Daphnia pulex: one gene and its partner. The protein of the gene in region 1 binds, or shares a complex with, the protein of each later gene. Links are inferred from orthologs where the notes say so. Each region holds a gene or a part of one and is shown on either strand. Other genes may lie near its edges. The genes, in order: DNA repair protein REV1-like and DNA polymerase eta-like.

The links.
Region 2: the proteins of DNA repair protein REV1-like (region 1) and DNA polymerase eta-like are in contact, whole or in part, in an NMR structure (PDB 2LSK), measured with the Homo sapiens proteins. The link is inferred for Daphnia pulex from reciprocal best matches to the Homo sapiens genes REV1 and POLH. Residues at the interface, in NP_057400.1 of Homo sapiens: Asn1158, Leu1159, Ala1160, Gly1161, Leu1171, Leu1172, Trp1175, Ile1179, Asp1181, Pro1182, Met1183, Glu1185, Asp1186, Gln1189, Val1190; in NP_006493.1 of Homo sapiens: Thr528, Glu529, Pro530, Phe531, Phe532, Lys533, Lys535, Ser536, Leu539.

What each region holds. Positions count from the first base shown.
Region 1 is NC_060017.1:8,178,443-8,182,980, forward strand, and holds the start of DNA repair protein REV1-like, read left to right. Parts: upstream 1-1,696; 5' UTR 1,697-2,164; coding exon 2,165-2,218; intron 2,219-2,286; coding exon 2,287-2,929; intron 2,930-2,988; coding exon 2,989-3,467; intron 3,468-3,533; coding exon 3,534-3,908; intron 3,909-3,968; coding exon 3,969-4,061; intron 4,062-4,125; coding exon 4,126-4,254; intron 4,255-4,318; coding exon 4,319-4,502; intron 4,503-4,538. Other genes in the region: alpha-(1,3)-fucosyltransferase C-like, read right to left, coding at 436-1,638. UniProt on the Homo sapiens protein: Deoxycytidyl transferase involved in DNA repair. Transfers a dCMP residue from dCTP to the 3'-end of a DNA primer in a template-dependent reaction.
Region 2 is NC_060027.1:5,025,334-5,029,882, reverse strand, and holds the start of DNA polymerase eta-like, read left to right. Parts: upstream 1-1,637; 5' UTR 1,638-2,133; coding exon 2,134-2,408; intron 2,409-2,472; coding exon 2,473-2,603; intron 2,604-2,677; coding exon 2,678-2,752; intron 2,753-2,812; coding exon 2,813-2,986; intron 2,987-3,053; coding exon 3,054-3,255; intron 3,256-3,317; coding exon 3,318-3,507; intron 3,508-3,583; coding exon 3,584-4,549. Other genes in the region: coiled-coil domain-containing protein 97-like, read left to right, coding at 282-1,170, 1,231-1,358. UniProt on the Homo sapiens protein: DNA polymerase specifically involved in the DNA repair by translesion synthesis (TLS). Due to low processivity on both damaged and normal DNA, cooperates with the heterotetrameric (REV3L, REV7, POLD2 and POLD3) POLZ complex for complete bypass of DNA lesions.

The DNA of each region.
Region 1 (4,538 bases):
TAAATCATCTTGCTGGATCGATTCCAGCTCAGTTCTTTTACACACCGAGCTGGGGGGGTTTGTGTACAATTGTTTTATAGCGAATCACCACTTGTTTCTTTAAGAAGATTCTTCGTTGTTGCGAACGAGCCGCATCCGAGTTATTTTGGTTGCGCTTGGGAATCACATTGCAGGTTTCAGCAGTTGACTGCCGGCTGCTCGTCAGCCGAGTCTATATTTAAGTTCGCCCCATATATAGTGAGAGAATGTGCTCTACAAAAAGTATCTGTGCAATGCAAAAGGGGATTACCACCATCTTCTCGAGAAGAAAAAGTTCTTTTTATTTTCCAATTCCTTATAATGCTGTAGGGAATAAAGCAACTCTCTAATCTTGTTAGATGAACTTATGGTCTCATTTGATTAGGCACGAGACAAGTCAGAGATGTAGAAACAAGTCTAAGATGTCGTGGATCTATTATTATTACCGTCAATACTGCGAAAAGCTTTCACGTAGCGCGGATTGAGACAACGGGTCGTTGGGTTCCATGTCGACAAAACATCAGCGGGCATTATTTCCTTCCGGTCATCCGACAGATTGAGTTGTGCACAAAGAGAACACAAGGCCTGGCCGCCCATCTCTTCATATCCACTGCGGATAATGTAACTGGTTTTCCATTTCAAGTACCTCTCGTAAAGTGTTTGGTTGCCATCGAGCAACAGCAAGTAATCGGCCAGTTGTTTGGGTGAATAACTCAGGGCGTCGATAAATGAATACGGCGGAGCAATGTCGCTGTAATTGGCCCTACCCATGACAACTGGCACCACGTCAAGCTTCAATATCGAATAGAATTTCTCCGTGACGTAATGGCTGCACAGTGAATTCTCAAACGACAGATAAAACTTGTATTCCTTTTCCAGCATGTCGTAACATTCCGGATGTGAAATCCCCGTATCAGAGTTCCATTTGCATTTCAACGGACCGCAAAGACCAAAGATGTCGATAGGGATGTGCTTCTGCAATTCTCTGACGTAATTTTCTCGCCGACTTTGAGTTGTGTTGCAATGCGAAACAAACCAGGCGACCAGTTTTGTCTTTTTCCTTATTAGATAAGACTTGGATTTTAAATCAACCGCTGCCCGTTCTATCCGGCCATACGGATAAGGAATGTTTGATTCGGGCAGATAACTCATGGTCCAGTTGAAATATCCGATGTAATCCTTTTGGACGTTTTCCTTGTGATAGAAAGGTGATTCTTGGCTGAAAAAGATGTAATATTGATGACTCTCCCGTGTGTCGGCTGGTGGCAGCTTGTCAGACTTTTCCAGTTGATGAAGCACAGCCATATTGAAAATAATGGCATCAAATTTGCCCAGTAAGTTTGATCGACGATCAGTTGTGACTCGACAATTCCTGTACGGACACGAGTTATTGTTGGGCAAACTTCTAAGAAAGACTTTCATTTCGATTCGATCGTAACCGTTCCACAATAGAATGTTCTTCGTCTGATGGGACTCGGATAACACATCATTAGGGTGGATGCGCACTATTACTCTTTCCCGAGTGATCGATGTCTGATGATAACAAATTATAGTGATCACAAACATTATTATAATTCCAGCCAAGGATAAGTACCTAGAGACACAATAACGTTGTTCCATTTCTGGGAAACAAAACTGGCAGTTTATCGTCTTCTTCTGATTAACACACAAATACGAATGAAGATAATACCCCTGGCAAACCATCAAATGAAAAAGAGGATACATGTAATTATCTCCGGCCATCATCATCTGCTATACATTTGGGAAGTTTTATAATTGTTCAAACAGGAAATACTTTGGGCGTTCCTCTTCCCATGCTCTTCCTTTGTTTCCTACATTTTGAGATTTGTTTTCCTGATAACATTCAAATCTTCTTTAGTAATTGGCATATCTTTTTTTGTGTCTTTCCACACTTTCAAAAAGAATAACAACAGTCCTGATCCAGTAGTTTTATTTAATTTTTTAAAAACTAAAATTTCAAAATATCTTTTCCGAACACGCGATTTACAATATCTGGCAATGCGCAATTTCTTCTGCCATCTAGTGATATTTTTTGAAACAATTTATGTAAACAAACGTGCACAGCAAACTCAAATGTAGTGGAAAATTTTCTTGCAAGTGTTGAGATTTTCTTTTTTATTAAACGATGGCTGGAAGGGGTAAAAGGAAAAATAGGGACGATAATGGATTTGCAGAGTGGGTGAGACGACTTATTCGACTTCTGACACTACTAATTATGTTATTCATATTTGGAATCATTATTTACAGGGGGGTTATATGGCAGCAAAAATTTCTAAACTAGAAAATCAGTATTTGAATGAACAATTCAATGAAGTACAAGAAGATGATAAACTAAGCAATGTATTTTCAAATGTTGCAATTTTTGTCAATGGATATACCAGTCCAACTGCAGAAGAACTGAAGCGCATCATGCTGGCCAATGGAGGAGTTTACCACCATTACTATAATTCAAAAACGACTACTCATATAATTGCGTCCAACTTGTGTGGTGCTAAAATCAAGAAACTCAAGGGCGACGAAAAATTTGTTAAGCCAGAATGGATTGTTGAAAGTCTGAAAGCCAATATGTTATTGGATGTGAAGCCCTATTTGCTTTACACTGGGCTAACTTTAGACAAAGGGCAACAAAAGTTGGACATTGCTTCAATACAGAAGAAAAATGATGACAATCAAACAGCAATAGAAAGAAAAATTGATGAAGCACATTCCTCTGAACCTGTTCCACCTGGTGATATTACTAGACATTCAAGAGAAATGAAACGCGCAGGAGAAGACGATTTTTTATCTGAATTTTACAAACGCTCAAGGCTTCACCACATTTCCACAATGGGAGCGTTATTCAAAAGACATGTGACTGAGCTTCGAGAGAAAAATGATGGTGTTTTTCCAGGTACAATTTTGATAGCAGCATTTTATTAATGCAATTACATGTAATATTTAAAAATTTAGGTATGGAAAGTATTGAAAACTGGAAGAACTTGACTGGTTGCCTAGGAAACTACAAGTGTGAAGAAACTGTTTTCATGCACATTGACATGGATTGCTTCTTTGTCTCGGTTGGACTGCGCAACTATCCATCGTTGGTGGGTAAACCGGTTGTTGTGACCCATGCAAGAGCTGACGCTAAACCGCTTCCAAGACGCGAAGGCAGCAATCGAGAATATGAATTCGACTGCTATAAAGAACATTGGATCAAAAAATCGAAATTTTCAGAAAATAACAGCAATGCTGTTGATACGGTGGCTACGCTTTCAGATGTTTTTCCACGACTTCAGGATTTGGATGAAACTTGTTCCATGTCCGAAATCGCTTCGTGTAGCTACGAAGCTCGCGCAGCTGGAATTTATAACGGAATGTTCATGGGAGGTGCCTTGAAATTATGTCCTAATCTGGTTGCCATTCCGTACGATTTTGAAGGATACAAGGAGGTAATACATTTACAATCAATTATTTAAAATCTTTAATTCATTTTTCCGTTTGTGGGCGTGTTTAAGGTGTCCACCTCGCTGTACAATACTGTTGCCGCGTACACTTTGGACTTGGAAGCCGTCAGCTGTGATGAGTTGTACGCAGACATTACCTCCGTTTTGCGCCAAAGTGGACTCACGCCAGCCGAGTTTGCTACTCATTTGAAAGAAGTCATCTTTAATAAGACACAATGTAACGCCTCTGTCGGAATGGGCCCGAATATGCTGATGGCTAGGCTTGCAACCAAAAAAGCCAAACCGAACGGACTGTTTTATATCAACAAGAAAGACATGAATGAATTTATGAAGGACCACAAAATTGAAGATCTGCCGGGTGTCGGAAGGTCCATGGCTCATCGACTTCATGGCATGGGCGTTCGCACTTGTGTTGAAATGCAGCAAGTATGTGTACATAGCTTCTATTTCATTAAACAAATATGTAATTGTGTTTCTGAAAATCAGGTAAGCTTGGGAAAGCTCCAACAAGAGTTTGGTCAAAAGCAAGGACAAACATTATATCATATGTGCCGGGGAGAAGATAAACGCGCTCTAAAGGTATTATCTCAGTCTCAGGTTAACTTTCCATTTCAAAATTGTTAATATTGCGTGGTCCACATAGACGGACCACGTTCGAAAATCTGTTTCGGCAGATATAAATTATGGAATTCGTTTCGCAAATGATCAGGAAATGCACAAATTCGTTCAAGAACTGTCCATTGAAGTGTCCAAACGAATGGAAGAAATTCACGTAATTAATTTAAACATTTTTTTAACAGCGAAAGCAATTTTAACTTTGTTAAATGTCTCTTTAGGTGAGAGGAAAACTGTTGACTTTGAAGCTCAAAATCCGCGCCAAAGATGCCCCTGTAGAAACAGCGAAATTTATGGGTCACGGAGTATGTGATAGCATTTCTCGATCCACAACATTGTGTTCTGCCACTCGCGACACCAAAATCGTCGAAAAAGAAGTTCAAATCCTTTTGAAACAACTCAAAGGTAGTACGCTATATACCTTATCCTGCACAAACCATA
Region 2 (4,549 bases), on another chromosome or scaffold:
TGTGTGTCAAATGCGTTTATTTTTGCGGTTTTTGCAGAGATGCAGAGATTGCAGACGACAAAACAAATGCTGCACAAGCACAACAAACGTTGGCCTTGGGCTCTTGTCTACATTGGATAAAATATTTAAATGGTCAAGAGGGTTTTACTTGAGAGTATTTTTACTGCAATTTTTGGGTTCTACATCTAATAGAAAATTTTCAAACTTTGTTAAATTCTCGGCGCTAGAAGTTGTGTAATATTTCCTGGATCATTGTAATAAGTGCTTTATACAGTTGGACCATGGATCAAAATTCTGTTAGTATGTGTTCCAATTTGGATAATCAAAGTGATTTTAGTGATTGCAAACATGAAACACCTAAATTGATCCAGTCAGCATCTGAGAAAAGAGAAGACTCTAGGAAACAAGATGCTGTGATATCAAATCTTAATGGAACAACTCAATTACCTATATTCAACCAAACTGAAACCTCAACATTACCAGAAACTCATCAATCAGAATGTGACAACATTACTGACAATGATGTTGAAGAACTCAACTTGGCAAAAGAGCAAATGATCACTTATGTGGCAAATAGCCAAGCGGAAGATATTTTCTTTAGAAGCCAGCAACGTGATGAACCAGCACTTACAGCTGAGGAGAAGAAAAAGATTGCAGCGTCAGTGTTGAAATCAAGTCCTTCAAATTTCTTAGTCAGGTTTGGAAAAATATTGAATCCAAATCACCTGACTTACTTTCATCAATTTGAAAACAACTATGAAGTTTTATTTCATCTTCAGCAGCTGGAAAAACAGAATAAATTAACACAAACTAGTGTTAAAAACCTGCGTTTCCATGCAATGAATGAAATGATAAAAGAAGGGAAATATTTCAGCATGGATGAAATGAGGAAAAGAAACCCAATATTATTTCATGAGCTTGTTGAGAAATATATGTCATCAGATGAAAAAAGATTGTTAGAACAGGAACAACCAAAGCTATGTAATCTTTCAACAATTTTCATGGCCCACATAGATGGTGATTCTGAGAATTCTAAAAGGAGAAATGAACAACGAGCTGATCAATCAGCTTGGGATGAGGCATTAGCTTGCGAAGAGGAAGAAGAAGAGGATGATGATGATGATATAGATCAAGAAGAAAAGAAATTCTTCCGCGATGAATTTATATCAAGTATTATTTACGATATATTTATTTATTTTTTTTTCGATTAATATTTACCATTTTTTAAAGGTATGTATAGTAGCTTTCTCAGTGGGCGTGATGAAGAGTTCGACTACAGCCAAATTGATTCTTCACATCCCAAAGACGATGTCATATATGAAAGAGATGCCGAAGAACGATACTTTGATAGTGACTAACACAATATTAATTCGCTGTATGAAATCTTCCAAATGTCATGATTTGTAATGAAAGTAAATAAAAAAAAAATTCAATAACAAAATTGACTCGAGTACATACAGTCATACAGATTATCCGTGTAAATTGAGTATTTGGTGATTGATTATATTCGAATTTCTTTTTTTTAATAATGTAAACGATTAACAACATTTTTTAAACAAATTTTTATTATGTATGAGAACTTCAGAGGTAGCTTAAGCACCAGGTTGAAGTATGGCGGGTTTAAGTTTTGGCGGGAACTAACAAGCAGACAACTCGAGAGGAATGTGTCAATGTGGAATTGTGGATGTAGGTTGTTTACCGATTAAAAAATCTGCTCGGGAAGATATACATGCTAAACTAATATTAAATGTGACAACTTATTAAGTTTAAAAAGTCAATGTCTAAAACAACTGGGAAAACGTGGTCCGAAGGGTATCATTTTGCTCCAAACAGCTCAAAATACCTGGCAGGAGATCCAGATGTAAAATTTGTCGTTTTTGATACGTCGCCAGATAACAGTGAAGACGAAGAACTAGTTCCTTGTTTGGAAAGAAAATTGAACGATGGTATTGATCAAGTGAAGTCTCAAGAACCAATACTTACAAAGGAAATTAATTTGGTTTTGTCAAAAAGTGATGACAATGAAATTGATAGTCAGTGTTCCACATCAAGCAATGATCTTCCATTGAGTCCTTCCACCAGAGAGGATATGATACAATACTTGAACTTTTGTGCATCAAAAAAACTTAAAAGATGAGTGCTGAAGATGAAAAACGAGTTGTAGCCTTGATTGACATGGACTGTTTTTATGTTCAAGTGGAAGAGAGAGAAAATCCTGGCAACAAAGGAAAACCTGCCTGTGTGGTGCAGTATAAAAAATGGAAAGGGGGTGGTATTATTTCTGTAAATTATGAAGCTAGAGCGCAAGGAGTAACTAAGCAGATGAGAGGAGATGAAGCCAGGGAAAAATGTCCAGATTGCATTCTTTACAGAGTACCTGAACAGCGAGGAAAAGCTGATCTCACAAGGTAAAAGTATTTTTCTAAATTTATCAAAAAAGATATATATAATTTTCATAATTTGCAATTCTAGGTACAGGGATGGAGGAAAAGAAGTCATTGATGTGATGTGCAGCTTTGGTGTCGTCGTAGAGCGCGCCAGTATTGATGAAGCATACATAGACATGACCGCGGTTATAGATAAAATGCTTTCAGATTCCACAGGTTGGTTGAAAGTAAAATTCAGCTTGATGAAATTCGTCATTCACTTTGTCAATGTCCTACTTTTACTAATATAGCCACTGCGATCGATCTTGAAGAGCTTCCAAACACTTACTTTGTTGGATGGGGGAACGACACAGATGATGTAAAAGGTCGGTCATTATTTTACATGCTCTAGTTCTATTACTACAATATTTCCTATAAATTCGTAGGTGTACACGGGTGGTTACAAGCGTTATCGGAAGGAAATTGCAACGATAATGACTGGAAATTAACATATGGTGCTATTTTGGTTGAAAAGATGCGCGCTGCTGTTTATGAAAAAACCGGATTTCGTTGTTCTGCTGGGATTTCCAACAATAAAATGTTGGCGAAACTAGCTTGTGGTATGCTCTTATTTCTTTTCTTTTTTTTTATTATGAGCCTTCAAAATGACTTTTTTTTTTCCTATAGGCATCAACAAGCCCAACAAGCAAACCGTTTTGCCTTTTCGTTCCGTTGAGGAATTTTTTACGACGTTCCCTTTAAAGAAAGTTAGAAATCTTGGTGGTAAACTTGGTCTTGTTCTACGAGAAGAGTTCCATTGTACTACTATGGCAGATATCGTAAAAATTCCCGAGCGGGTCTTGCAGGAACGTTTTGATAGTAAGACGGGGTAAGTTTTCTCGCTTTCATCTTTAAATGCCTCTCATATTTATTGAAATCTTTGTCTTTCAGCACGTGGCTTTACTGGTACGCCCGAGGAGTGGATCATGAGTCGGTCAGCTCCCGCAGACTGCCCAAGTCCATAGGCTGTAATAAAAATTTCACTGGTTTAGCTGCACTAGATTCTCGGGAGAAAATAAGCCATTGGCTAGAAGAGTTATGTGCTGAAGTTTCTGAGCGACTCGAGAAAGACCGGGAAACGGTAAATCCCATCACTCTTGTACCTCTTTTTCGTGTGTTGGCATAACATATTTTCCCTTGAAAATTTATTTTTTTAGAATAATAGAACGGCAAAACTATTAACTCTGACGGTTCGATTAGAAGGCGATATACGACCGTACTCTTATACTCGTTCAATTCCTCTGACTTCTTCATACGAAAAAATGCACATGGCGAACGCTTGCTTGGCAGTTATTAGTAAAGAAAATCCTTGTTTCAAACAAGGCAACACTAGAGTTCCAGTGGTTGTTACCTGCCTTGGAGTTTCAGCTAGCAAGTTTGTTGATCAACTGGAAAATAATTCCAGGATCGATCGCTTTTTTGTCACTAAAAATAGTGCTGAAACCAACAAGGAAAAAGAACCCTATGCAGAACAGGAAGCATTGCATGAAAACGATGATCTAAACGAAAACAGTACTGATCAGGAGGATGAAGAAAATGAATTTGTAGAAACTGAAAGAATCTTGGATATTGAAGAAGAAAGTATTACGGCACCAGAACCAAATACAGCCGACTCTGCTTCAGAGTGCACTGAAGCAGAGCCTGTATCAGTCCATAGAGAAATGAGTTCAATGCCTATTTCCAATCAAGATAACTGTGGAATAGTGAAAAAAACTGGGTTTTTTGCTTCTCGTTGCCTTGACAAAAACACTCCAATACAATCAGCTAAAGAATCTGTTCCTGAACCAGCAGCCCTGAAAATGGTGGGTCTTCAAGAGTCATTCTCCGTTGAAGAACTATTTCCAGATTTAAATCAAGTTGATATGGATACCCTAGCTCTACTCCCGCTTCATCTACAGCGCCAAGTTTTACAAGCAATCGAGGCTAGGAAAGGTAGTTATGGAAATGATAAATTCGTTGTATGTGACAAGTGCAAACAACAATTTCTCCGAGAAGAAATCGAAGAACACAAAGATTTCCATTTGGCGTCCGAATTGCAAAAGGAATTTTCTGCCCAGCCTTCTACTTCTTCATTGGCCAACAATTCGAAAGTCCAGACAGCCGAGAAAAAATCGTCGAAGAGG